Linked DNA regions of Callithrix jacchus. The protein of the gene in region 2 purifies or fractionates together with the protein of the main gene of each other region. This does not show direct contact. Links are inferred from orthologs where the notes say so. Each region holds a gene or a part of one and is shown on either strand. Other genes may lie near its edges.

The links.
Region 1: the proteins of INAVA (region 2) and CYTH2 purify together in Homo sapiens (co-immunoprecipitation; 3 studies listed by BioGRID and IntAct, counting the BioPlex papers as one, with this or other methods). This does not show direct contact. The link is inferred for Callithrix jacchus from reciprocal best matches to the Homo sapiens genes INAVA and CYTH2.
Region 3: the proteins of INAVA (region 2) and CEP170 purify together in Homo sapiens (co-immunoprecipitation; 3 studies listed by BioGRID and IntAct, counting the BioPlex papers as one, with this or other methods). This does not show direct contact. The link is inferred for Callithrix jacchus from reciprocal best matches to the Homo sapiens genes INAVA and CEP170.
Region 4: the proteins of INAVA (region 2) and CYTH3 purify together in Homo sapiens (co-immunoprecipitation; 3 studies listed by BioGRID and IntAct, counting the BioPlex papers as one, with this or other methods). This does not show direct contact. The link is inferred for Callithrix jacchus from reciprocal best matches to the Homo sapiens genes INAVA and CYTH3.
Region 5: the proteins of INAVA (region 2) and CYTH1 purify together in Homo sapiens (co-immunoprecipitation; 3 studies listed by BioGRID and IntAct, counting the BioPlex papers as one, with this or other methods). This does not show direct contact. The link is inferred for Callithrix jacchus from reciprocal best matches to the Homo sapiens genes INAVA and CYTH1.
Region 6: the proteins of INAVA (region 2) and SGF29 purify together in Homo sapiens (co-immunoprecipitation; 3 studies listed by BioGRID and IntAct, counting the BioPlex papers as one, with this or other methods). This does not show direct contact. The link is inferred for Callithrix jacchus from reciprocal best matches to the Homo sapiens genes INAVA and SGF29.

The regions. Positions count from the first base shown.
Region 1 is NC_133523.1:42,350,223-42,354,522, reverse strand, and holds the start of CYTH2 (cytohesin-2), read right to left. Parts: upstream 2,801-4,300; 5' UTR 2,774-2,800; coding exon 2,686-2,773; intron 2,407-2,685; coding exon 2,259-2,406; intron 2,157-2,258; coding exon 2,090-2,156; intron 188-2,089; coding exon 69-187; intron 1-68. Other genes in the region: uncharacterized protein LOC128930433, read left to right, coding at 2,801-3,508. UniProt on the Homo sapiens protein: Acts as a guanine-nucleotide exchange factor (GEF). Promotes guanine-nucleotide exchange on ARF1, ARF3 and ARF6. Activates ARF factors through replacement of GDP with GTP.
Region 2 is NC_133520.1:27,929,877-27,933,376, reverse strand, and holds part of INAVA (innate immunity activator protein), read right to left. Parts: coding exon 3,134-3,500; intron 1,460-3,133; coding exon 1,367-1,459; 3' UTR 1-1,366. UniProt on the Homo sapiens protein: Expressed in peripheral macrophages and intestinal myeloid-derived cells, is required for optimal PRR (pattern recognition receptor)-induced signaling, cytokine secretion, and bacterial clearance.
Region 3 is NC_133520.1:42,879,484-42,883,751, reverse strand, and holds the start of CEP170 (centrosomal protein of 170 kDa), read right to left. Parts: upstream 2,801-4,268; 5' UTR 2,574-2,800; intron 1-2,573. Other genes in the region: SDCCAG8 (serologically defined colon cancer antigen 8), read left to right, coding at 2,983-3,066.
Region 4 is NC_133503.1:15,993,758-15,997,825, forward strand, and holds the start of CYTH3 (cytohesin-3), read right to left. Parts: upstream 2,801-4,068; 5' UTR 2,670-2,800; coding exon 2,642-2,669; intron 1-2,641. UniProt on the Homo sapiens protein: Promotes guanine-nucleotide exchange on ARF1 and ARF6. Promotes the activation of ARF factors through replacement of GDP with GTP. Plays a role in the epithelial polarization.
Region 5 is NC_133506.1:134,443,572-134,447,071, forward strand, and holds part of CYTH1 (cytohesin-1), read right to left. Parts: intron 2,816-3,500; coding exon 2,744-2,815; intron 2,132-2,743; coding exon 1,977-2,131; intron 1-1,976. UniProt on the Homo sapiens protein: Promotes guanine-nucleotide exchange on ARF1, ARF5 and ARF6. Promotes the activation of ARF factors through replacement of GDP with GTP.
Region 6 is NC_133513.1:29,281,225-29,285,274, reverse strand, and holds the start of SGF29 (SAGA-associated factor 29), read right to left. Parts: upstream 2,801-4,050; 5' UTR 2,622-2,800; intron 1-2,621. UniProt on the Homo sapiens protein: Chromatin reader component of some histone acetyltransferase (HAT) SAGA-type complexes like the TFTC-HAT, ATAC or STAGA complexes.

The DNA.
Region 1 (4,300 bases), on a different chromosome or scaffold from region 2:
TGTAAGGGCAGGAGCTGGGCATGGGGGGGCGGGTGAGAAACCCCACGGGAGCTGAGTGGTGGCCATACCTCTCCCCCAGGTAGTCCCCGATGGCGGTCTTGTTCAGCCCCTCGCCCTTGTATAGGAAGCGGGCGATCTCCTCGGGTGTGTTCTGCAGAAGTTCGTTCTCCACCAAAAACTGGATGCCCTGGTGGTGGGGACAACAAGGTCTCAGTGCTGAGGGCCAGAAAGCCACTCCCCTCACCTCCCGGGGAATCTCAGCATCCATACCTACCCCCACCCTCAACAGACCAGGGCCAGCTTCATTTTCAGCCTTCTCACAGGTCCTTAAACAGCATTCTTCCTGACTTAGAGCCTTTGCAACTCATGGCCCACCCTTTCTGCCTTTGCCTGGTTAACTGCAGCATCAACAACAGGGTCTGGCTAGGAACAGGGGCTCACTACATTTTCTTTCTTTTTTTTTTTTTTTGACAGTCTCATCCTATCTCCAGGCTGGAGTGCAACGGTGTCATCGCAGCTCACTGCGATTCCGTTTTCCGGTTTCAAGCAATTCTCCTGCCTCAGCCTCCTGAGTAGCTGGGACTACAGGCACGCACCACCACACCTGGCTAATTTTTTTGTTTTTCAGTAGCGATGAGGTTTCACCATGCTAGTCAAGATGGTCTCGATCTCTTGACCTTGTGATCCACCTGCCTTGGCCTCCCAAAGTGCTGGGATTACAGGTGTGAGCCACCACGTCCGGCTTTTTTTTTTTTTTTTTTTTGAGACCTGGTCTTGCTCTGTTGCAGACTGAAGTGCAGTGGCGTGATCACAGCTTACTGCAGCTTTGAACTGCTGGGCTCAAGGGATCCTCTCACTTCAGCCTCCTGAGAAGCTGGAACTATGGGCATGAACCAACACACTTGGATAATTGATTTACTTATTTACATCTTTTCTAGAAATGAGTTATCACTATGCTGCCCAGGCTGGTCTCAAATTCCTGCTTCAAGCAATCCTCCCGCCTCGGCATCTCGAAGCACTGGGATTACAGGCGTAAGCCAACTAAACCAGCCAATAAACAGTTACTGAATGACTGAAAAGGGTTCCAGTTGCTTCAGGAAACAATAACGTGACAACCTGTTAGCAGTCTCTCCAGGGCTGTGAACTCAAGAGCCCAGGCTAGGCTGAGGCTTCTCTGAGTCTCTGTGCTATGAAGACCTCTCTGTTACTGCCGTATCTCACTCTGAATTGTGCTACTGGTGTTCAGGGAGTGCAGGGCAGCATCTGATTCTTCTTTTGGTCTCTAGCATCATCCTATACAGGATCAGACTCTCAAGAGGCCTCGGAAAATGGGTGTTAAATGAGTATGTGAACAGGCTGGGCATGGTAGCTCACGCCTCTAATCCCAGCACTTTGGGAGGCTGAGGCAGGCGGATCATGTAAGTTCAGGAGTTTGAAACCAGCCTGCCCAATATGATGAAACCCCTTCTCTACTAAAAATAGAAAACTTAGCTGGGCATGGTGGCGAGAGCCTGTAAGCCCAGCTACTCGAAAGGCTGAGGCAGGAGGATTGCTTGAACCCAGGAGGCAGAGGTTGCAGTGAGCCAAGATCGCATCACTGCACTCCAGCCTGGGTGAAAGAGCAAGATAATGTAAAAAAAAAAAGTGAACAAAACACTTTCCTGAACCTGGTGAACACCTATTCATCCTTCAAACCTGACCTGAATGTCTCCTCCTCAAAGAAGCCCTCCCTGACTCTACCAGCCTGCCCCCTCCCGATACCTCTGTCATGGCAGTCAACTCTCGTTTGTGCACGCCCCTTTGTCCACAGCCCCTACAAGACTCGGAGCTCATCCTGAGACTAGAAGAAGTGCACCCATACAAGTAGACAGTGAAAGAGAACCCTCCCGGCAGGGGACGCAACTAGAGTGTCAGGAGGGCTGGAACACTTTGTGTGTTCCAAACGGACAGCCAGTCTCTGAATCCAGGGATTAGGACCAAGTCTGTCCACCTAGAACAGACCCGGAGCCATGCTTCTGGAACCCGGAGGTGCCAGAAGTTCCTGCCTGGACGTCTGCCCAGCTGATCCCAGTCCTGTGGCCCCAAGCACCTTCTTGGGGTCCATGTTGAACTTCTTCCTGCCCATTGCCATCTTCCGGTTCCGCTGCAAGGTCTTACTGCAGGAGCAGAGAGCAGGGTAGGGGGCGGAAGGTCAACGCCTGGACATCCCTGGCCTCGGCCAACCCCACGCCCCCCAGGTCGTCCACCCCAGCCCTCACCTGCCCTCATTGGCCTCTAGCCCCTCCACCTCGCTCATGGCTTCGCTGAGCTCCTCCCGCAGGCGCTGAATCTCCACCAGCAGCTCCTGCTTCCGCCGCCGGATGTTCTCCAGCTCCATCCGCTCCTCCGGAGTCAGGTCTGGGGGTTCTGGGGGTCAGGGTCAAGGTTTCAAAGTCAGTGCTGGGGGCTGTGAGCCGGGATTCCCGCAGTCTGGGGGTGGAGAGAGCTCGGAAAGGACGCATAAGGGGCTTCCTATGTCTGGACCGAAGAATGGACTGGGGGCCTGGATTCCAAACTCTCGAGTCCTGGGGAAGGAGTGGACTTGGGGCCCGGATTCCTGAGTCTGAGGGAGAAGGGGAATGGGTGCTTGAGCTCTTAGGTCTGAGGGAAGAAAGGGCTGGGAGCCGGAATTTCTAGGTCCATTACTTGGAAGGGGACTGAGGCTTTGGTTTTCTGACTCCATTCCTGGAGAGGTGGTAGCTGAGGACCTGGCTGTCCGGACTCCTGGGTCCATGAAAAGTCACTACAGCCAAGGGAACTGATGACAGCTCGACAGAGTTGGGAAGGTGGGGCGGGACATCGACGGCCCCCGCCCCCCAAGATTTCTCCCCTCCCGGCAACCCGAGTGCCCCTCCCCGGCAGGCGCCGGGCTCGCCCGCCCCTCCAGCTGGAATGGTTCCGCCTCGGCCGCGCCTCCACCGCTCCATCCCGCCCCTCCCGCCGCCACCGGAAACAGGCTCAGCCCAAACAATGGCCTGGAACACCCCGCTCTCGGTTCCAGCCGGAAGCCCGTCCAGCGCCCCACAAAAGCGGCGCGACGAGGCTACGGCGGGACCCAACGCCTCTGGGCGGCACGCACCAGGAAGAAACGTTCGCGGCGGAACGTTCAGGAGAAAACGCTCTAGCAGCTCCCATCCGACCCCGCCCCTCCACGACCTACCATAGACGCCGTCCTCCATGGCGGCTAGGAAGGCCCGCGGGGAGTCCGGGGCGGTCCCGCCAGTCGGGCCTGGATCCGCGTTGGCCCGCGGGCTCTGGTGAGCCCGCTCAAACGCCCCGGGAGCCACCGCCGCCTCCTCAGCGCCAGTCCTCAGCGCTGAAAAGACCCTCCCTTCGTCTTCCAACCGCCCCTTCAGTAGGGACCGCCCCTCTTTTTGACACCGTCCAATCCACAGTGGGCGCTTTCGTCCTCCCCGCCCTCGACACCAAAGGATCGTCCTCCAGGGCCAAGAGTCGCACAAAAAGCTGATATAGGTATGTCTGGCCGGAGGTAGACGGCCCGCGGGACCAATCGGAGTGCAGGCAGGGCAGCAGGCCCCGCCTCTGAAACAACAGATGGCCCTTGACAGGCTTGCTCTCCAATGAGAAGCCTCGGAAAAGTGTTGCGTGGAGGCGGAGCTATGTGGAGCAGACATGACGGCGCCTGCTCAAAGGCCTTGGACACTGGGAGACTAGGTCAACCGAACCCCGCCTCCAGCGGTGCGTTGCTAGGGGGAGGTACTTTGTTAGTCTTGTTGCCAGGGGGCGGGGCTACAACTGTGGCTTGTTTTTGAAAGCCACACCTCCTAGCAGCCCATGCTGGCTTCTGACCGCAGAGGTTGCCATGCAACGGGGAGCAGCTTTGAGCCTCTTTTGCATTTCTTCTCCGGGTACTTTCCTCTCCTCTCAGTCCCTTCTAATCTTCAAACTCCTTACCATCATCTATGCCCTCCCCATTCCCCTTAGCCTCTTCAGAGTCATGGAGTGGTGAAACGAAAGATTTATTCTTTTTTTTTTTTGAAGTGGAGCCCTGCTCTGTCACCCAGGCAGTGGCGCGATCTCGGCTCACTGCGACCTCTGCCTCCCGGGTTCAAGAGATTCTCCTGCCTCAGCCTCCCGAGTAGCTGGGACTACAGGCACACGCCACCACTCCTGGCTAATTTTCGGTTTTTTTTTTTTAATAGAGTCGGGGTTTCACCGTGTGGGTCAGGCTGATCTTGAACTCCTGACCTTGTGATCCGCCCGCCTTGACCTCCCAAAGTGCTGGGATTACAGGTGTGAG
Region 2 (3,500 bases):
GACTTGCTCCCGTTGCTGCAGCTGGGATAATGAATGAATGCCCTCAAAGAAGATTCAGCATCTCGTCAGTGCTTGGGAGGGAGTATGCCCATGTTTGTATAAATAAGTACCTTCTCAGAGCAGAACCACAGCTGAGGGGGGAGTGGGAACTGTGACCCCCTTCCCCAACATGCCACAAAAGTGGTGCCTTTCCAAAACCACTTGTAAAGAATTGGTGTTTAGGACTATGATGAAAAAATGTTAGAAGGGCCAGGTGCAGTGGCCCACACCTGTAATCTTAGCACTTCGAGAAGCGGAGGTGGGTGGATCCTTTGAGGTGAAGAGTTTGAGATCAGCCTGGCCAAAATGACAAAACCCCATCTCTACTAAAAACACAAAAATTAGCCGGGCCTGGTGGCACGTGACTGTAATCCCAGTTACTCAGAAAGCTGAGACAGGAGGATCTCTTGAACCCCAGAGGCAGAGGTTCCAGTGAGCCAAAATCTTGCCACTGCACTCCAGCCTGGGCCACAGAGTGATACTCCATCTCAAAAACAAACAAAATGTTAGAGGGAGCAGTGAGTGGGGCTGCAAGCCCTTGAGACGCCCAGAGGTGGCTGTCAAAGGATGGCTGCTGTCCACTAACCACCAGTATGGGCCAGTCCCCAGCTGGACCCCCTGAGGCTACAATCTGTGATGCCACCGACTCAAAGCTCAGAAGTCTGGGGACCCACAGGGCATAGACAGGGCATAGTGACTGGGTCCCTAAAGAGGATTTATGGGGTCAGGAAAATAGCACGGTCTACCAAGACAATACACCACCAGGATATACTGATCTTTGACCTCGCACTTGGTGTGCATCACAGAGCACATTAGAAAGGGGAAAGGGATTCTCCCCCAGCCCAGGCCCAGGCACTCACAGACCTGGGACATGGGGGAGAGTCATGTGCATGAGTATGTACCGTATCCAGCCTCCAGCAGTAGTGGGACAGGAGGGCCGGGGCAGTTCTCCAGGGAAGTTCTTAGGACCAGAACACAGAGCTTTGGAGAACTCCCAAGGTGGCCCACTCTGCTTCACGTGTCCCCTGCCACTTGTCTTGCCTAAGGAGACAGATGCTGTCAGTCAGACAGGCAAGACCTTAAGTCCAGTAGGCCAAACTCTGGAGGGTAAAGCATAATCATATCACGGGGATCTTCAGGATGATCACATATATAAATCCTTAGGTCAGGGCTTCTGAAAAAAGTCGTGTAAAAAAAACAAAATAAAAAGTCTCAGCTCCAGGTCATCGGCCTGCGATGGGGGTGGGAGAGCTGAAAGAGGCACTCAGGGGTGGGGGGTCTCAGCCCACCCCCTCCGTGAAAGTCTTTTCCAGCATGGGGCACAGAGTTACACCTGGCTGATGATCTCTCCTTTCTCAGGTACAAAGACTTGCACAGGGGCCCCGTCAGGCGATCTCCGCAGCACACACACTGTGGGCACCTGCCAGGGTCGGGAAGGAGAGGTGGGTAAACGAACCAGGCAGAAAAGCGGGGACAGTAGGCACAGCTACACCATCCTTATCCCTTAGGGACACTGACCAGCAGCAGCAGCAGGCCCTGGCACTCAGCCCCTTCCTCCCCAGGAGGCTCTGTCCTTCAGGGATCCCCCTTTACACATTTTCCTCCAGGTTCCTTTGGGGTGTGACAGGCGCCCTGACCTCCTCCTCCCCACATTTCCTGCACTCACTTCTCATCACCCTGTCTGGCAGGTTGGGATGGGCTGGGTCTATCCAGCCAAGGACAGGCCCAAGCGTGCATGAAGGAAAAAGCACGTCAGCTAGAGGGCGAGGCCTGGGACTGGGGCCAGGGTGTTGCCAGGCCCAGGATGCCAGCTGCAGCCCAGAGTACCGTGGGTGGGGGAGGGACACGCAGCTGGGCCTGCTGGGAACCTGGGGTCTAAAAGAAGCAGCTTGTTGGTAACTTCTGGAGCACGTCCCCTGCAGAGCCCTCCGTACCAGGGAGAAAGAATGAAGAAAGGATTCCTGTGTGTGATTCCCCACTTCCAGAATGAAGAAATAGGGGCCAAGGAAACCAAGGCTGCCACCCTACCCAGTATCAGAGTGCTCTATCCTTTATACTGCCCCCCAGCCTGCTCCCTGGCCTCTGCAGCCCTAGATGATAATAATGTCACATATCTAGTGCTTGCCATGCATTGCTCTAATCATTTCTGCCTCTTGGCAGCCCTGTGAGACAGGTACTCTACTACTTCCATTTCACAGGGGAGGAAAGAGTAAGTCCAGAGGGGTTAAGTAACTTGCCCAGTCATACAGTTCGTAAGTGGCAGAACTGGGATTTGAATCCAGTGGTCTAGCTTGAGGGTCGGTGTTCTTTTTTTTTTTTTTTTTGAGACAGTTTCAAAAAAACTGGCCTTGTTGCCCAGGCTAGAGTTCAGTGGTGTGAGCTTGGCTCACTGCAACCTTCACCTCCCGGGTTCAAGGGATTCTCCTGCCTCAGCCTCCTGAGTAGCTGGGATTACAGGCGCCTGCCACCACGCCCGGCTAATTTTTTTGTATTATAAGTAGAGATGGTGTTTCCCCATGTTGGGCAGGCTGGTCTTGAACTCATGACCACAGGCAATCTGCCCGCCTCAGCCTCCCAAAGTGCTGGGATTACAGATGTGAGCCACCGCGCCCCACCGAGGGTCGGTGCTCTTAACTTTGATGCCACCGTTCTTCTCGGCTTGGTGCTGAGGAGGGGTGTCGGGGAGGATGCTGTTGCACAGGGTCTGGCCTCTGCAACACATTTCCTACTCTCCCTTTGTCCTAGACCTTCAAATGGACATTTAAGGGGCTGATTTGGATTGGATTTTTTATTATGAAGAGGCCTGTCTGCTTTGTGGATCATCATTTAGGGAGGGAAGAAGTCTCAGTATCTTCGGGGATCATCTCCGCCAGTGTATTTACTCTTGAGCTACACATGGCCGGCAAAATTAGGAGGTGCCCCGGGGAAGCCAAGAGGAAATGATTTTTTGGCCTGTTCTTCCTAGCTGGGGATTACCCGGCCACTGGGTTGCTGCTTCGTTACCTCCCTGCCCTTGGACTTGCTAGAATTGAGGCCCCTCCCCAGCAAGACAGCCCTCCTGCCTGGCCCCAGGGTCCCTCCAGAGCAGCCATACCTGTGTCCGGGGTCCCAGGGCTCGCCCGAAGCCCTCTCTCCCCAGGGGCAGGCTCCTGACGCGGAAAGCCCCTTGTCGGTCCAGTGAGTGGGGGCGGGTGCTCCGGAGGCGTGCGCGCTCGTGCCACCACTTGAGCTCCTCGGACACAGCAGCCTTGCTGAGTCCCCGGCCTGCCGGGCTGTCCTTCAGGGAAGGCGTCCGCACGATGCGGCTGCGGGAGGGCACCAGCCGCTGGTAGCGCAGGGGAGCGCCGTCCTCCTCGTAGGCAGGGCCCAGGGCTGCGCGGAAGGGCTCCCACTCGCCAGGCGGCAGGGGGCTCTCAGCCACCACCACGTACCGCCCCGCCGGGAAATAGCCAGGGGGCAGC
Region 3 (4,268 bases), about 15 Mb from region 2:
AGATAAGCATTATCTGACTGCAACCAGATACAACAATAAAACAAGTTCTTTTTTCAGCAGATAAAAAAGAGCAAGAAATTCATACTTAGAACAAATCAAACAAATCACGAAGCACAGAATTTTAAAAAGTACCATAATAGGATTAATATGCAGAACGTATGCTAAAGTTTATAGTAAAAAAAAAAATTCACTATCTCATGTTAAAATAGGGAACAGGCAGATTATTTACATACAAAATAATCTCAGAACACAATGAAATTTACCAATAAAATACGTTTAAAGCATGATTGCATATAATTCCACACACTGAAATTTAGTTACAGATGTTTAAAGCTGAAATTTAATATAAACAATATATCCTTTAAAAAGGTCTATTAAAATGCAATGTAAGATGAAACGATTAAAATTATAAGGCAAGATAAAAAGCACTTTATGGTAAAATCAACCCAATAAGAAACATAAAGTTAATACATCTTAAAAGTTAAATTCTAAGTTGAAAGTAATCACTAAAAATCCGTTAATGATCACAGCTCATTAATTGTAACAAAATAAACATTATAGGTTCTTGTTATGCAGAAATTTTATTTTCAACACTGTCTATAGAGTTGATCATCATACTACTATAGAATACTAATGAATTTCAAGAAATAATATTAAAATACAGCTACTATTAAGTAGTAAGGAAAACACTGCAACGGTTTGTTAAAAGCACATGTTAGGACATCTTTCCTCATTTAGTAAGTTACTTTATAAAACTAAAGGTCCATTTCAGGAGAATTCCTACTTTTACATGACAAAGGCAAGAACTAGATAAATACAACGGTGAGAATCAAGTTCATGGGCAGTCACAGCATACTCAAGGAGCACGTAGGGAAGCTTTCTCTACATTTTCGCAGGTCAAAGGGCCAGGGGGACACAGGAAAGATCACTCTTCAGTGGAATGGACCTTCAGTTTCATTTGGCTCTGCCTTACAGGAGCAGTTTGGCTTGGGCAGACAAGTCAGTTAACTTTCCGTGTTTGAGTGTTTTCCTCTGTCAAGTGCGCTTAGGCTCTTCTGTGTTATCTCCAAAGTTAGGAAGAACTAAAGGCAACCCTAGTTTTACTTTTTAAAAATAATGACAGAAAAATACATAACTTGCTATTCATCAATGCACTGTTTCCAGGGCTGAATTCCTAAGTCTCTGAAGCATATTCAGCTCGGGATATACCAGTGAAGATCCAGATACTATAGTCACAATGTAACTCTCTCACCTCACATTATTCCTCCACCTGCTCCTCCCCATCCTGCTTTATTTTCTCTTCTGGTGTGTTTCAAGTAGCAACGCCAGCAAACGGCCATATGCATTTGTAAGCTTAAGGAGGAAATCATTTTAAAGGATGCATTTTCAATCAAATGTATCATCCACTTCGCCAAATTCCTCCTCAATGTCTGAATTTCCATTAAGAGAATAAAAATGAGTTAACTTTGGAAACAGATTTATACGGGGCCAGTTGTTTCGTTTGTTTTACTTGCTTAAAAAATAAAACAGCAAGATGTGTCTATTCCCTCAGGAACATAAATGCATTACCCGCCCAATGAGAAAACAATTCTGCTGGTTCATTTCCCTGACACAACAGCTTCGTTGTCAGGCCCTTTCTAGCCCAGGCTCCAACGTCATCTAGTAATTTTATATTGATCACCTTGGCAGTACTTGGACTCCAGCAGACATAGTCTGTCTTCCTTGCATTCCTCAAAAAAATGAAATAAAATAAAACTCTACGAAACACCACTGAACAGAGATTCTGTGACTTCGAATCCAATCTCCACGTCTTCCCGCCCTGTGTTAGGCAGCTGCAAATGTTATTTTTTTTCTCGCTTGCATAAAATGGAAGCGAACCGTACCCAGACCCTATATTTGAATCCTAGGACAATGAAGCCGACAGGAAGCCACTCTCTCCTCCCCCAGGTTTACTACGGGGCCAGAGCCTCCGCGGGGTGCAGTCGCCTGGCACGGTGCATGACACCGCGTCTTCCACGCCCTCCCGACGCGTCCGAAAGGCTCCTCGCCTGACCTCGCCAACCGCCTCACACCCCAAAACCAGCCACACAAAAGGGATCGGCCCCGGGAGCTGCTCCAATCGGGGAGAAATCCCTTCCCCAGCGGCCGCGCAGCCATTCCCTCCAATGCTCCGCCCGCACCCCTAGCAAACTGCTACGGCGGAGGGGGGAGGGCTGCACAAAGCCAGGCGAAAGCTGAAAATGATTCAACGCACTGAGGAGACGCCGAGGCGGCGGGCAAGGGCTCGGGAAAGCCGGGGGCCCGCAGGACTGGAGCTCCCGGGGGCGGCGGGTGGGGGATGGGAGGAGTGGCCCTGTCAAGCCCCCCGGTCCCGGGCCGGGAGAGGGTGGGGGTGGCGGCGCCGCGCGGAGCATCCGGGAAGCGCCCCCTTCGCGGTCCAGCCCCGCAGCCCCGCACCCCCGCCCCGTGGCGGGCCGCGCCCGAGTCCTCGCCGCAAACCAGAGAAGCAGGATGTGGAAAAGCAGCCGCGGAGGCAGCGGCGCCCACACCGAGCAGCCGATCGCATCACTTACCCCTCACCGTGGAGAGAGGGACCGGACGGGGGAGGCGGGGCGCGTCGCGTCCCGTGAGTCTCTCGCACGCCGTCCTCCCCCGACCTCGTCGTCGTCGTCGCCGCTGTTGTCGTCGCTGTCGCTGCCGCTGCGGTCGAGCTCCGGGGCCCTCAGCTCCGCCGGGCAATAACGTTATTCCACACACGCCCCACACATAGCGGTAACGGCAAAGAGCGGCTGCCTAGTGCGCAGGCGCCTCGGGAAATGGCGAGGAGCCGGACCCGATCCCCTCCTCCTGCCCAGTTCCAGCGATCCCTTACTGCGCAGGCGCCAGACACAGACAATGAAAAGGGGTTGTGCGAGGGTCTCACCCACTCGCTTTTCCAGCTTGGCCACTGCGCAGGCGTGCCCCAAGAGACCAGCTTAAACAATGAAGAGGACCTTGGCTTTAGGTGGGACCGCAACCAACGAGGACTACAGTTCCCAGTGGGCAGAGCGCCAACTCCAAGTGGAGGTCCGGTTGCTGGGCATGCTAGGAGTTGTAGTGTCGGCCGCCTTTACAATCTAGGCTGTTTGGAAGATTTTAGAGTTTCTATTTCTTGAGGATTTATTCGACCATTTTGAAAAATATCGCAACTGAAGCAGGGTTCAGAGCTTACTATCTGAGTCCTAGAGTAGACTTAGGGATCAACTGCTGCATGTTAGCAAATTTCCAAGCGTCAAGGCCTTCAGTGAGCCCTTTCTGACATTTGGGTGGTCCAGGCAGCTGAAGGATGGGATGGAGGCGGGACTAAACCAGGCTGGGCTGCAGGAAAAAGGGCGGGGCCTGGAAACCTGTCTCTTGGCAACAGGCTGTGGCCGCCAAACCGTCCAAGCTAGAGCCTGTGGCGCGGTGGTCTCTGGGAATTGTAGTGTAGCTGGAAGGCTCTCAGAATTGTCAAGCTTGCAGGCTCTGCACCTGAGGACTACAACTCCCGACGTCCACCGGGAGGGCCAGTGGGTGGGAATAGCCCCCAAGAGCTCCGTGCGGGATTCTAGGCTCCCCTGTGACAGCCGCGGCAGGAAGGGGGCGGGCGCTCCCCGGCCACGGGCCTGTTGTTCTCGGAAGCGAGAAAGCTGGACATTTCCCCCCGTAACTCCCAGCTCTGGGCCTAGAGTGTGCATGGCGAAGTCCCCGGAGAACTCTACCCTGGAGGAGATTCTGGGGCAGTATCAACGGAGTCTCCGGGGTGAGTTGCTCCAAACCTCTGTTCCTAGCCCCGAGGTGCCCGGGGCCTAGAGGGCGGGAGCAGACCAGGTGCGTTTCCTAACACCTGCGTTCTGCCCCAGCTAGGCTACAGAGGAGCGAGATGGGTGTTGCTGTGATCTTTTGAGGAGGATGAAATAGTTTGAGTTTGTTTCTACAGTTAAGCAACGTTGTTTCCTTAGATTCCCGTAGTTACCTGAACCAACTCCTTGATCTTAACTTGGGCATGTTTCTCAACCAGCGACGGCAGAAACTCTTGGATGGCTCTATGTCACTTTTGCCCAGTTTCCATACTTTGCTGTTTAATCCAGTAAAAGTCAGATTCACAGTTTTTACACATTTAAAGTATGGCGTAGTGGATTGAATGTGATTTGTAGGATCAGTGTGTGTGTGTGTGTGTTGGGGACACTAATTATTTAAATCACTACAGCCCCCATTTAATTGTTCTAGGCTATTTGCATGCAATTAAT
Region 4 (4,068 bases), on a different chromosome or scaffold from region 2:
TTGAACCGGGAGGCGGAGGTTGCAGTGAGCGGAGATCACGCCACTGCACTCCAGCCTGGAGACAAAACAAGACTGTCTCAAAATAAAATAAAATAAATACTTATCCTAAGACTGCTAAATATATACGGTGTGTGTGTGTGTGTGTGTGTGTGTGTGTGTGTGTATTTTTTCTTTTTTTTCTTTTTGAGACGGAGTTTCGCTCAAAACTCAACCGTTGGCACGATTTTGGCTTGCCACAACCTCTGCTTCCCCAGTTTAAGCAATTCTTCTGCCTCAGCCTCCTGAATAGCTGGAATTGCAGGCATACGCCACCACGCCCAGCTAATTTTGTATTTTTAGTAAAGACGGGGTTCACCATGTAGGTCACACTGGTCTCAAACTCCCAACCTCAGGTGATCTGCCCTCTTCGACCTCACAAAGTACTGGGATTACAGGAGTGAGCCACCGCACCCAGTCTACCAAAAATATTTTTAAGTGTCTGTCACAAAGCAAGGGAGAAAGCTATTTATAAACTAAATCGATAAAAGTTAAAAGTTATTTTCCAGCACCTAACATGCTGGCTGGCATTTTACTGGGCAATCAATAAATAAATCTTCATTGTTGAATGTTCTGGTGAGGTGAATTAAATAATACACTTAAAACATTGATGTCTTTTATAAGTTTTTTCAAATTTGAAATACATGCTTATTCCAGAAACTTGGAAAACTTGAAAAAAATAAAATAATCCATAATGTCACCAGTTTTTACATTGTTTAACCCATGATGTATAAAACCGCTTATTTTAATGGTTGTAAAATACTTGAATAAACTTTCCATAATTTACTTCACCATGCCCCTACGGTTGGTATTGCTGTTTTCAATGTTTTGCTATTACAAACAGCATAATACACCATCTTTATACATGAGGTTTTTTTTTATTTTAAGGTTGCTTCCCTGTGATAATAATAACAGCCCAAGGACAGTTTTAAGACTTTTGATACTTAATATCATCCTTTGTTATACTATTCAAGATCTGCAAATTGCTGGAGCACACTAAAGCTTCCTTTTTTTCCTCTTTATCCCTGCTTTTATCTTCAAGTCTACATTTCTTTTCTCAGAGCCCAAAGTACAAAACAAACTGCCAAGCCAGCGAGCTGCCCTGACTCTAATGCCAAACGTCTGCATATTACAGTTGTTTGTCCTTCTTTTCTAACAAGAGAAAACTGCTCTGCCCAAATTATGACAGGCAGGAAACACGACCTCCACCGGGAATCCATTCCTTAGGATCTCGTGGCTCCAGACGGACAACCTGACTGTAGGAGGGTTTGCAACTGGGCTCCTTCGTTCCGCAACGCTCCCTTTTCATAAACACACCCACTCGATGCCACAGTGCTACCCCTAGCTTCAACTATGAGAACTGAACTCGCCAAATGCCATGACGGGTGCCAACTTCCCACCATCCTGGCTGCATCGCGTCTTTCAGCAAAAAGAATCTCCCTCTAAGCAGCACTTGAATTCTAGAAGGCACCTTGATGATGAACCACTTCATCCTGAAGCATTCAATACTGCTGATTCTTACAGGCAGCTGCTGCGGCAGCCTGTAATTAAGATTTCTCTAAACTGCTCCCTTATTACATGAGGTTCTGATGATTCTGATTTCTGTCAGCTCAAAGGAGATCTTTAGCTCAAAAAAAGCCAAAAATGAAAAAAGTCTAGAGAACCTCAACTTCGTCTGTTCCTGTAAAAACATAGGCATTAACCCTTTGCTTTCCAAAGCGAACAGCCACTCCATACAGACAGGCACGTTCTTCTGTTTTTAAAATCTAATTCGCAGCATGACCCAACAGTCATTTGTATTCCACGAAATAATTTCCAACAAACACGATTCCTCCAGTAAGAGGAAACCGAATGTCAGGCACAGACCACCTGGGGCACGTCGGGCACCGACCCGACCCACTTGGGAGCACATCTGGCTCTCCGGTCTCGCCTCGGTGCTGGGTGCAGCTCCTGACCCCCACCCTCCGCTCCATCGAGTTTTTTTGCTCACTCTGTCGCGTCTGCCGTTTCCTAAAACGCCTACCCCCACCTGGACTCCAGCTAGACCCCTCCCCGTTCGAGCAAATCCGGCGACCGTTTCTGACCCAAGCCAAGCAGCCTGTCACGCTTTCCAACCGCTCCCCCTGCCCTCCCCTCCTGTACCCCAGAGGAGCCCCCCATGCCAAACTTTCCCCTCCCGGTTCCCCACCGGCTCAGCCGCTTCCGCCCACCTGAGCTCAAAGGGGGCGTCCGAAACGCCTGGCTCCGGAGGGCGTGGACGCCCTTGGCGACAAGATGCGGGGAAGGTCGCCCCACAAGGTCCCCCGCCCCATAGGAGCGACCCCCGAACCTCCGCCCGAGACTCTGGGGCGACCCCGGCCCGCGGTGGCCCCGGCCTGGTACCGGGACCCTCGCCAGCGCTGGACGGCGACCCCGGCCAGCCGCTTCCCTCGGGCCCCCGAAGTCCCCGTCTCGGCCCCGGCCCGGCGCGCCTCAGGCCTCCAGCAGGCGCCGCCGCCGCCCCAGTCCCAGTCTCCTCAGGCGGACGCCGGGCCGGCGCCGCGCCCGCGACCCCCAGCCCCCGGCCCCAGGCCGCCGGCCAGCCCGCCACACCTCCGACACTCACCGCCCTCGCCGCCGCCGTCTTCATCCATCTTGAGGCCACTCCCGCAGCCGGCAAGCCCCGGGCGGACGGCAGAGGGGCCGCGGGCGGGGGACGCAGCCAGAGGTAGCGTGCGGGCGACCGGGCGGCTCCTCAGCGCGCAGCCCGGGTCGCAGCGGGGCCTCCTCCCGCGGGGCGGGGCCTCGCTGGTCGGCGTGCCGTCACGTGACCGACCCAGGGCGCCCCCCCCCCGGGGGTGGGCGGGGCGTGAGGCCGCACGGCCCCGCCCTCGGGAACCGGCCCGGCCCGGCGGCTTCTGCTGCTGTAGACCCGGCCCCTAGGGCGCCGGCGGACCTGAAGCGCGCGGAGCGAAGCTTCCTAGCCCTCAGCCTTTCAGTAGCCTGCGGACGGGCGTGGGGCCTCGGACACTGGAAACCACATTTTGCAAAACCCAGTGGTCAGGAGTGTAACTTGCACTTGCACTCGGGGTAAAAGATCAAAAAACGAACGCATTCAGAAGTCAGACCTGGCCAGGCTCGGTGGCTCACACCTGTATTCCAGTACTTTGAGAGGTTGAAATGGAAGGATTGCTGGAGACCAGAAGTTCGAGACCAGCTCCTGTAACATAGGGAGACCCTGTCTCTACAAAAAACATATTTAATTACCCGTGCATGGTGGCGCGTGACTGTAGTTCCAGCTACTGGGGAGGCTGAGGTGGGAGGTCAGGTCACTTGAGCCCAGCAGGTCGAGGCTGCAGTGAGTTATTGCACCACTGCACTCCAGCCTGGGTGATAGAGTGAGACTGTCTCAAAAAAAAAAAAAAAAAAAAAAAAAAAAAAAAAAAGGAAGAAAAAGGTCAGGCCTTCTCCTTCCTAAGATAGGCATGTCAGAATAATTCCAGCCTTTCAGCTGTCTCATATATAATAGAGGCTCTCCTTCCCTGACGGTGAGTGCATTTTTAAATTAACAAAATGCAGAGCTTCTAAATGAATGCTGTCGTGAGGCTGGATCGGCATCCCAATCCAACACACCTGGGGCTCAGCCCTCAAAGGGCATTGTAGGGGTTGGCCAATCTGGCGGCAGATGCCCTTGGAGTTTAGCGCCAGTATCCCTTGGAGAGCTGCCAGCTGCCCTGAATTTATGATGCAGAAGGAGCTCTGAATTCAATTTCCCTTGGGCAAAGCAAGGGTCCTCAGCGCAAGCCTCCTGGGCACAAGGCCTCGGCTGGCCCCTGCTCCACATCGATGGATCTCTTCTCTCATTCCCCATATCTTGCTTCCAGTAACTCCTGAAGCATTGCTTGTGGCCTCTCCCAAGCCTTTCTGCTGGAACTAAATTGCATTACAGAAAAGCAAACATTGTAATGGAGGAGATAGTTCATCTCTAATATAATTTTCCAGCAACTGTTTTATATTTATAAGCTGTCCATTGAACCAAAGGATCCTTCCGTT
Region 5 (3,500 bases), on a different chromosome or scaffold from region 2:
CCCCACACAGGAGAACTCGGCACTCACTCTCACTAAAGGATTGAATGATTCTAAGTGTAACTTTGAAAAATGCTTAGTTTTTCCAACTATAGAAATAAAAACCACATGAAAGACACATGTACAAAACCAGCCAAAACTTTTGTGAAAGACCAGTGAGGGGGGGCCAGGAAGCCAACCAGCCAGCACAGTCAGAGCATGCATGCGGCTCCAGGGCAGAGGCTGGGTGGCGCTCACACTGGGAGACATGGCGGAACAGCAGGTGCTTTGCCACGTGATGGAGGAGGTGGGTACAAACGAAGGAGGCCGTGTCATCGGCAGGAGCAACACGGATTAATTCATAAATGGCGTCAGGACCATCAGCTATTAATTTGTGAGAACAAAGGTAAAATCCTGTACAACCCTTACTTCAAATCTTATATAAAAGCCACGTTTTATAATGATTCAAGAGTTAAATTCTTTTTCAGGATGTTAAAAAAAGGATGCAGGTCCCCCACAACACTGCTGTTTTCTTCCCCAGAATGCAGGGCTGATGCCATTACTAGCAGGGGACTCTGAAAACACAGTGGCACTGTGTCTGCTCATGGAGAGTGGGCTGGCCCCTGCTCAGGGCCACACTTCCCATGATGGCTGTCATGCCAGGGAAGCTGCTGAGGCCTGTGCCCACCACATGATCTCATTTAATCCTCACAAGAGCCCACGAGTCAGAAATGACCTCTATCAGACAGAAGAGATAGGTTACCTGCCTACCAGGCACCACGCTCAGAGGGACAGAGCAAGGACTCAGCACAGTGTGAGCCAGCGCCAAATCCATCCAAATCCATCCTCTCCCCGCCTGGCTCCCATCTCTTTTCATTGCATGAATTTTCAGATTTACTTTTGAAGGGATAAATCATCTATCTTTTCCTTCCATCACCACATCATCTCCATCTTCAATCATTTATTAAATATTTAACCTTGGCCAAAACCTACCCCGGTTTGAGTAGAAATACCAAAAGCTAAAACAAAGGCCAGAGTGTATCGGACTCTCTGAGGAAGGGGGCTGTAGCCTGGGTGGGAGAAAGCCCGTCACACAGTATACAGGGGACTTACAGGGGCCTTGGCAGTCACCTGGAAAACATCCTCCCTGTTTCCCAAGTGAAGTCACAGGCAGCTGAGGAGCCTTTCTCAGGAAAATAGCTGGGTAAACTCTCATGGATGAAGCACCTAGGAGGGAGGACAAGGCTGTGCTCTCAGGAGCAAGCCTCACAGAGAGAAGGCAAAGGCAGATGCTCAGTCTTGATCCTCATACAGGACCGGAAGCAGGACCAGGCGGACGAAGGCCCAGGGAAGAACATGAAGCAAAAGAAGCCAGTTGGCTTCAGAAAGCTGTGTTTCCAGACACTTTTCCCATCAGAAGTCTCTAGCCCCATGAGAAACCTGACATGGCCGGAGCAGAGCTGAGAGTGAGGAGTCAGAGCACTGGACTCGGAGCTCCACTTCTTAGCTGTGGAACTCTGAGGAGGCTTTTCCCTCCTCCTGGACCTTGGATCATGCTATGTGACTTCCAGCGAATGTCTTGACCTCTGTGGGCCTCAGTTTCCTCATCTGTAGCTAGGAAAATGGTGTCTCATAGCATTCCCAAATGATAAAACATAACTACTGTCACCACAGAGCTGTTACTATAACGAGAACAGCTTCCTCAGACATGGAAAGGCCAGTTCAGCAATGGCATCTGTACCTGCAGCTCACTCACCTCTTCCCATTTGGGGTCTATGAGGACACCTGGGGAACCCAGATGGGACGTGCTCTTTTACATAGGCTGTAATAGACAAAAATCCAAAGGCCTCCCGGGAAGTCATCTGGGAACCAGGACCAAAATTCCCTACACTCGGAGCACAGAAGAGGGGCGGGCGGCGTGTTTGGCCACTGAGACGATGAACACCTGGTGAGCGAGGGCCCGTCAGGCACGCTCACCTCCCTTCTCTGAAGTCACTTACTTAATGCACTTCATCCACTCCTCCTTCTCCTCGGGCGTCGGAGCTGAGATCCGGTAAACAGTGTGGTTCCCCTCCACGACCCGCCCGTCAGCCTCGGTCTTGCAGGCCTTGATGACTTGGTCTTTATTGTCTGGGATATAAAGCTCAAAGCAGTTCTGAGAATCAAAACAGAGAGGAGAGACTGAAGCAAAGGATGCTGCTGACTGAGAAACACGCTGATTTCTTTCCCCAAAGCCTCTTTATTCTGACCTTCACAAAATACAAGCAAGATGTATTTTCCTAAGGAAAAGTGAAGCTTAGAAGTAGAATTCTGGAGACTGTAAATTGCATAGAAATAAGTCTTGTTAGCAAACATACCAACCTGATATAAGATGGCTCCACTTCTAATGCATGTAAAATATGGAGAGAACCACAGGTTACTGAAGACTTTTTAAAGTCAAGCCAGTAACATCGTGATGGTCCAAAACAAAGGAAAAATAAATACAAGGTGTCCCAAGGTCATAAAATAAATAGCCCACCCATGAGTGTTTGCTGTCGCCATCTGAGGAGGAGCAACTTCTACACCCCATGTGATATTCACTAAGTGAAACTATAAACCAGATGGACAGCACAGAAAGAAGTGATTTAGTCTCATCTTCGGCTTGAACAATACAATAAAAAATTAGACTAAATAAAAGGCCTGATCACACTTTTCAGTGCTTTGGTTTCAGGTTTTTAAAAAAAATCTTTGAAACACCCATCCCCTTTCTCCCCTCAAAAATACTCACTGGTTTTTTGGAGTCCTCCACCTCCCGGATACTCAGATTCTCTAAAGGGATGATTCCACGGGGCTCCTTATCCTACAGAACAGTGGAAAAGAGGAGGTTTAAGGACACACACATGGTCAGATTCCTCCCCGGCAACTCATCCTAACTCTCCTGCCTTCTCCCAGGACATGATGTTCACAAATCGGCCTGAGGGACCACTCCTTACGTTCCAAAATAAGAACAGCATCAAGAATGCCTGAGGGTTGCCAAAAGAACTGCAGGTCCTCTGTAAGTAGAGCCCAGGAGATTCAACAGGTACCTCAAGAGTGTGCCTTGCAATGACCCAGGGCCGGTCCTCAAGCAGCAAGTGTGCAGCCTCCTTCCTCTAGAAGGGCCTTTCCCTCTCCCCTTTTCCTGGCTCTCCTACTCATCTCTCGAGCCTCAGTTCTGGGGCAGCAACTCCAGGAAACCTTTCCTAGTCTTACCCTAGCGGCCCTGCCCTGCCCTGTACCCCTGATGCCTGGGACAGCAGCTACGGTACAGGCCATTAAGGACCCTTGCCTCTGTCCATCCCTTCACTGCCAGACAGTACAGTCTTCAGAGACACCTGAATTTCCAAAGGCACCTAAACTCCTGTCCCGAATAGAGCTGCACCTGCCAACTAGTCCCATCTCATCTGCAGAGACCACAGCACTGCATACACTTCCAGCACACGTCTGATGGCAGCTTCACAGTCCCCTGATATCCAGCCAACCCACGGCCAAGTCTTAGTACTGTG
Region 6 (4,050 bases), on a different chromosome or scaffold from region 2:
AGGAGTTCCAGACCAGCCTGGCCAACATGGTGAAACCCCATCTCTACTAAAAATACAAAAATTAGCCAAGCATGGTGATGCATGCTTGTAATCCCAGCTACTCAGGAGGCTGAGGCAGGAGAATTGTTTGAACCCAGGAGGCGGAGATTGCAGTGAGCCGAGATCGTGCCATTGCACTCCAGCCTGGGCGACAGAGCAAGACTCCATCTCAAAAATAAATAGAATCTATATTCATCAATTAGTTAAAGAGACATTAAGATGACGATTTTTTTTCTCCATGCCTCTGTATTGCAACTTATGCCAGTGTTTCTCATTTAAACCTTACAGCAATCCTATCAGTACAGAAGGAGCAGTGTTAAAAAAAAAACAAAAAACAAAAAAACAAATAGATATCAGAATGGTAAGTAGAGTGGGAAAACTGCAGTTCAGATAGGTTATGCAGGGAACTCAGGAAAAATAGTTGAGCTGGGGCTACAAGGCTACAAATTCTAAAACCCATGCTCCTCCCCTGAATTCCAAGTTTTGTTACAAATTCACCATATTCAATAGTAAAAGATCATGGAAGTGGAAGCTTCTGGTCTCTTGTAAACTGCCAATCCACCATTAGCTATTATTATAACACTTGTCAAAGTATCACCAGTAAAATGATGATTGGGGCAACTGAAAAACGTTAGGGAAATGTGATGGTTAACTTTATGTGCAACCTGATTCGGCTAGAGGATGCCCAGATAGCTGGTGGTAACACTTCTGAGTGTGTCTGTGAGTTCCAGAGGGTTTGCTTTACTGGGCTTCCAGCTTGCAGATGGCAAATCTTGGGACTTTTCAGCCTCTATAATTGTATGACCCAATCCATCACAATAAATCTCAATACATCTATACATCTATACAGTTCAATACATCTACACAGTTGACCCTTGAACAATATAGGTTTAATTGTGCAGGTCCACTTATACATGGATTTTCTTCCACCTCTAGGACTCTTTTGAGACAGGGTCTTGCTTTGTCACCCAGGTTGGGGTGCAGTGGCACAATTTTGGCTCACTGTAGCCTCCACCTCCTGAGTTCAAGCGATTCCTGTGCCTCAGCCTCTCAAGTACCTGGGATTACAGGCACACACCACATGCCTGGCTAATTTTTGCTGTTACTGTATTTTTAGAAGAGACTGGATTTTACCACGTTGACCGGGCTGGTCTCAAACCCCTGACCTCAGGCAATCTGCCCACCTCAGCCTCCCAAATTGCTAGGATTACAGGCATGTGCCACCGCGCCTGGCCGGTATTTACATTTAAAATGTGAAACTGGGGCCGGCTGTGGTGGCTTGCGCCTGTAATTCCAGCATTTGGGGAGGCTTTGGTTAGGACTGCTTAAACCCAGACGTTTGAGGCTGCAAGAGGCTGCAGTGAGCTGTGACAGCACCACTGCTCTCCAGTCTGAGCAACAGAGAACCTGTCTCGAAGAAAAAAAAAAAAAAAAGAGATTGATAATGCCTAGGGAAGAATCAGCAGGCCAGAGGCAAAGGAAGAGAATGTTCAGCAAGCCAAATGAAGACAGCATTTCAAGAAGAGGCAGTGATCAACAGCATCAAATGCTGCTACAAGACTGAGACCTAACTTAACAATGAATTTGGCCACCTAGAGATCACCGATGGCTCTGATAAAGAGCTGTTTATGTTTTTTGTTTTTGTTTTTTTTTTTTTTTGAAACGGAGTCTCACTGTCACCCAGGCTGGAGTGCAACTGTGGCACCATCTCAGCTCACTGCAACCTCCACCTCTCGGGTTCAAGCGATTCTCGTGCCTCAGCCTCCCAAGTAGCTGGGATTATAGGCACACACCACCATGCCAGGCTAATTTCTGTATTTTTAGTAGAAATGGGGGTTTGCCAGGCTGGACTCAAACTCCTGACAGGTAATCCACCCACCTCGGCCTCCCAAAGTGCTGGGATTACAGGCGTGAGCCACCGCTCCTGGCGACAAGGAACTGTTTTAGTGAAGTGGTGGAGACCAAAGCCTGACTATAGGCTCAAGGGTTCAAGACTTGGAGGAGGCACTAGGGAAGATAGGCTGAGGTCTCTGGCTGCAAACCCGAGCTGAGAAGGTAACTAGAGAATAGGGAGAGTGAAGGAGGTTGTTTTGCTGTTAAGACGGGCATTTTTGTCCGGGCGCGGGGACTCACGCCTATACTCCCCACACTTTGGGAGGGCGAGGCGGGATGCTGAGTCCACGAGTTAGAGACCAGCCTGAGCAAATGACAAGCTGTGTATCTTTAAAAAAACAAAAAAAGATTCTTTTGTGCAAATAATAAGTGCTGGAGTTCGGGGCCCAGCCTCTGTCCGCATCTTCGTGACCCTGGGCCGAGTATGCCACCTGGGGGGCCGCGTCCCTGTCAAGCCCGGCGTGCCGCAGTTTCCCATCATCCGGGATGGAAGCGCGCACGCGCAGACCTCGAGAGGCCGGGCACAGGGCCCGCCCTCCCCGAGCCCCGCCCCTCCCATCCGCAGCGCTAGCGCACCGCCCCTCGAGCGCCGCCTCAGGGAGGCCGGGAACCACTGCTCAAAGGGAGGACTCAGCCCTTGGCTCCCGCGCTTTGCCGGAGGGCTTAGGCCACAGCCCGTCCCCACCTACCCAGTCTCGGACAAAACAAGCTCGTCGGGCTGGAAACCGACGTGGGGAACAGGCGCATTCGTCGAACGCTTTTTCGGAGTCTGCGATGGTCACGGACCTCCGTTCGAAGATTGGCGGCACGTCGAGAACCGTACACGCTTTTTTTTCCTTGTATGAGCGTAGTCGCGCGAGGCCCCTCTACGCATGCGCGGTCGTTCCTCTGTGACGTGACGCGCTGCCCCTTGGGAAATGTAGTTTTTACTTGCCATACCTCTCCGGCTCCTGGCGGAACCCTTTCAACCAACCAGAGTGCGGGTGCGTTTTCAGCGTTTTCTTCCATTCTTCCAGACTCTGTTTTAAACAAAATGCAAAAAATAAAACAACAACAGCTTGAAAGCGAGCAGATTGTTGCTTGCTGGAGGAGGGTGGGCGCAGGAAATATGGTAATATGGAAACTGCACTTTCTGCTCAATTTTGCTGCGAACCTAAAACTGCCCTAAAAAATAAAGTCTGTTGTTAAAAAATTAAAAACAAGTAGATCGCTAAGAAATTGAAATTTTAGGGAGTCTTCTTAGAAAAGTATTAAGGATATGGAAGTGCAATGGACGTGTAGCCTCAATGGTATTTATCGAAGGCCATCATAGTATCATACAATTTCTTAACGCTTCAAATGTCCGTAATTATATATTTGTTTGTTGATTATTTGATGGACTTGCAAGTCCTATGAGATTGGGATCATCTTTTGTTCACCTGTGTATTCTTAGGACCTAGCACAGTGCCTGGACATCAGCATGCTTTTTTCTTTTTTTCTCTTTGAGACAGGGTCTTGCTCTGTTGTCCAGGTTGGAGTGCAATGGTGCCACCAGGGCTCTTGAGCCGCTAGGACTACAAGCTCACACCAGCACATTCTGCTAATTAAAAAAAAATTTTGTAGAGATGGGGGTCTTGCTATGTTGCCTAGGCTGTTCTTTAGTTCCTGGGGTCAAGTGATTCTCCTGCCTCAGCCTCCCAAAGTGCTGGGATTACAGCCGTGAGCCACTGGACTCAGCCCCGTCAGTATTTTTCTGTTTATTAGAGAATCTCAGGCTTAGCACTGGAACTATATTAACCCGAAAATTAATTCGTCGTTTTCTTCCATCACACTTGGCATTTCTTTCTGTGTGCTCTAGGTCAGTGAATAACATGTCCATCCACCCAGCCTCAGTTCGACTTACTGCATTTTAGGAAAGTTATGCTTTGAGGGATTTCACAATTTTTGAATTTGTAAAGATCTCAGGAGCTCTTTCTCCTGATTGTTAAATATCAGCCGTAACCCAGCTGCGGCTCACGCCTGTAATGCCAGCACTTTGGGAGGCCGAAGCGGGTAGGTCACAAGGCCAGGAGTTGGAGACCAGCCTGGCCAATATGGTGAAACCCTGTCTTCACTAAAAATACAAAAATTAGCTGGGCA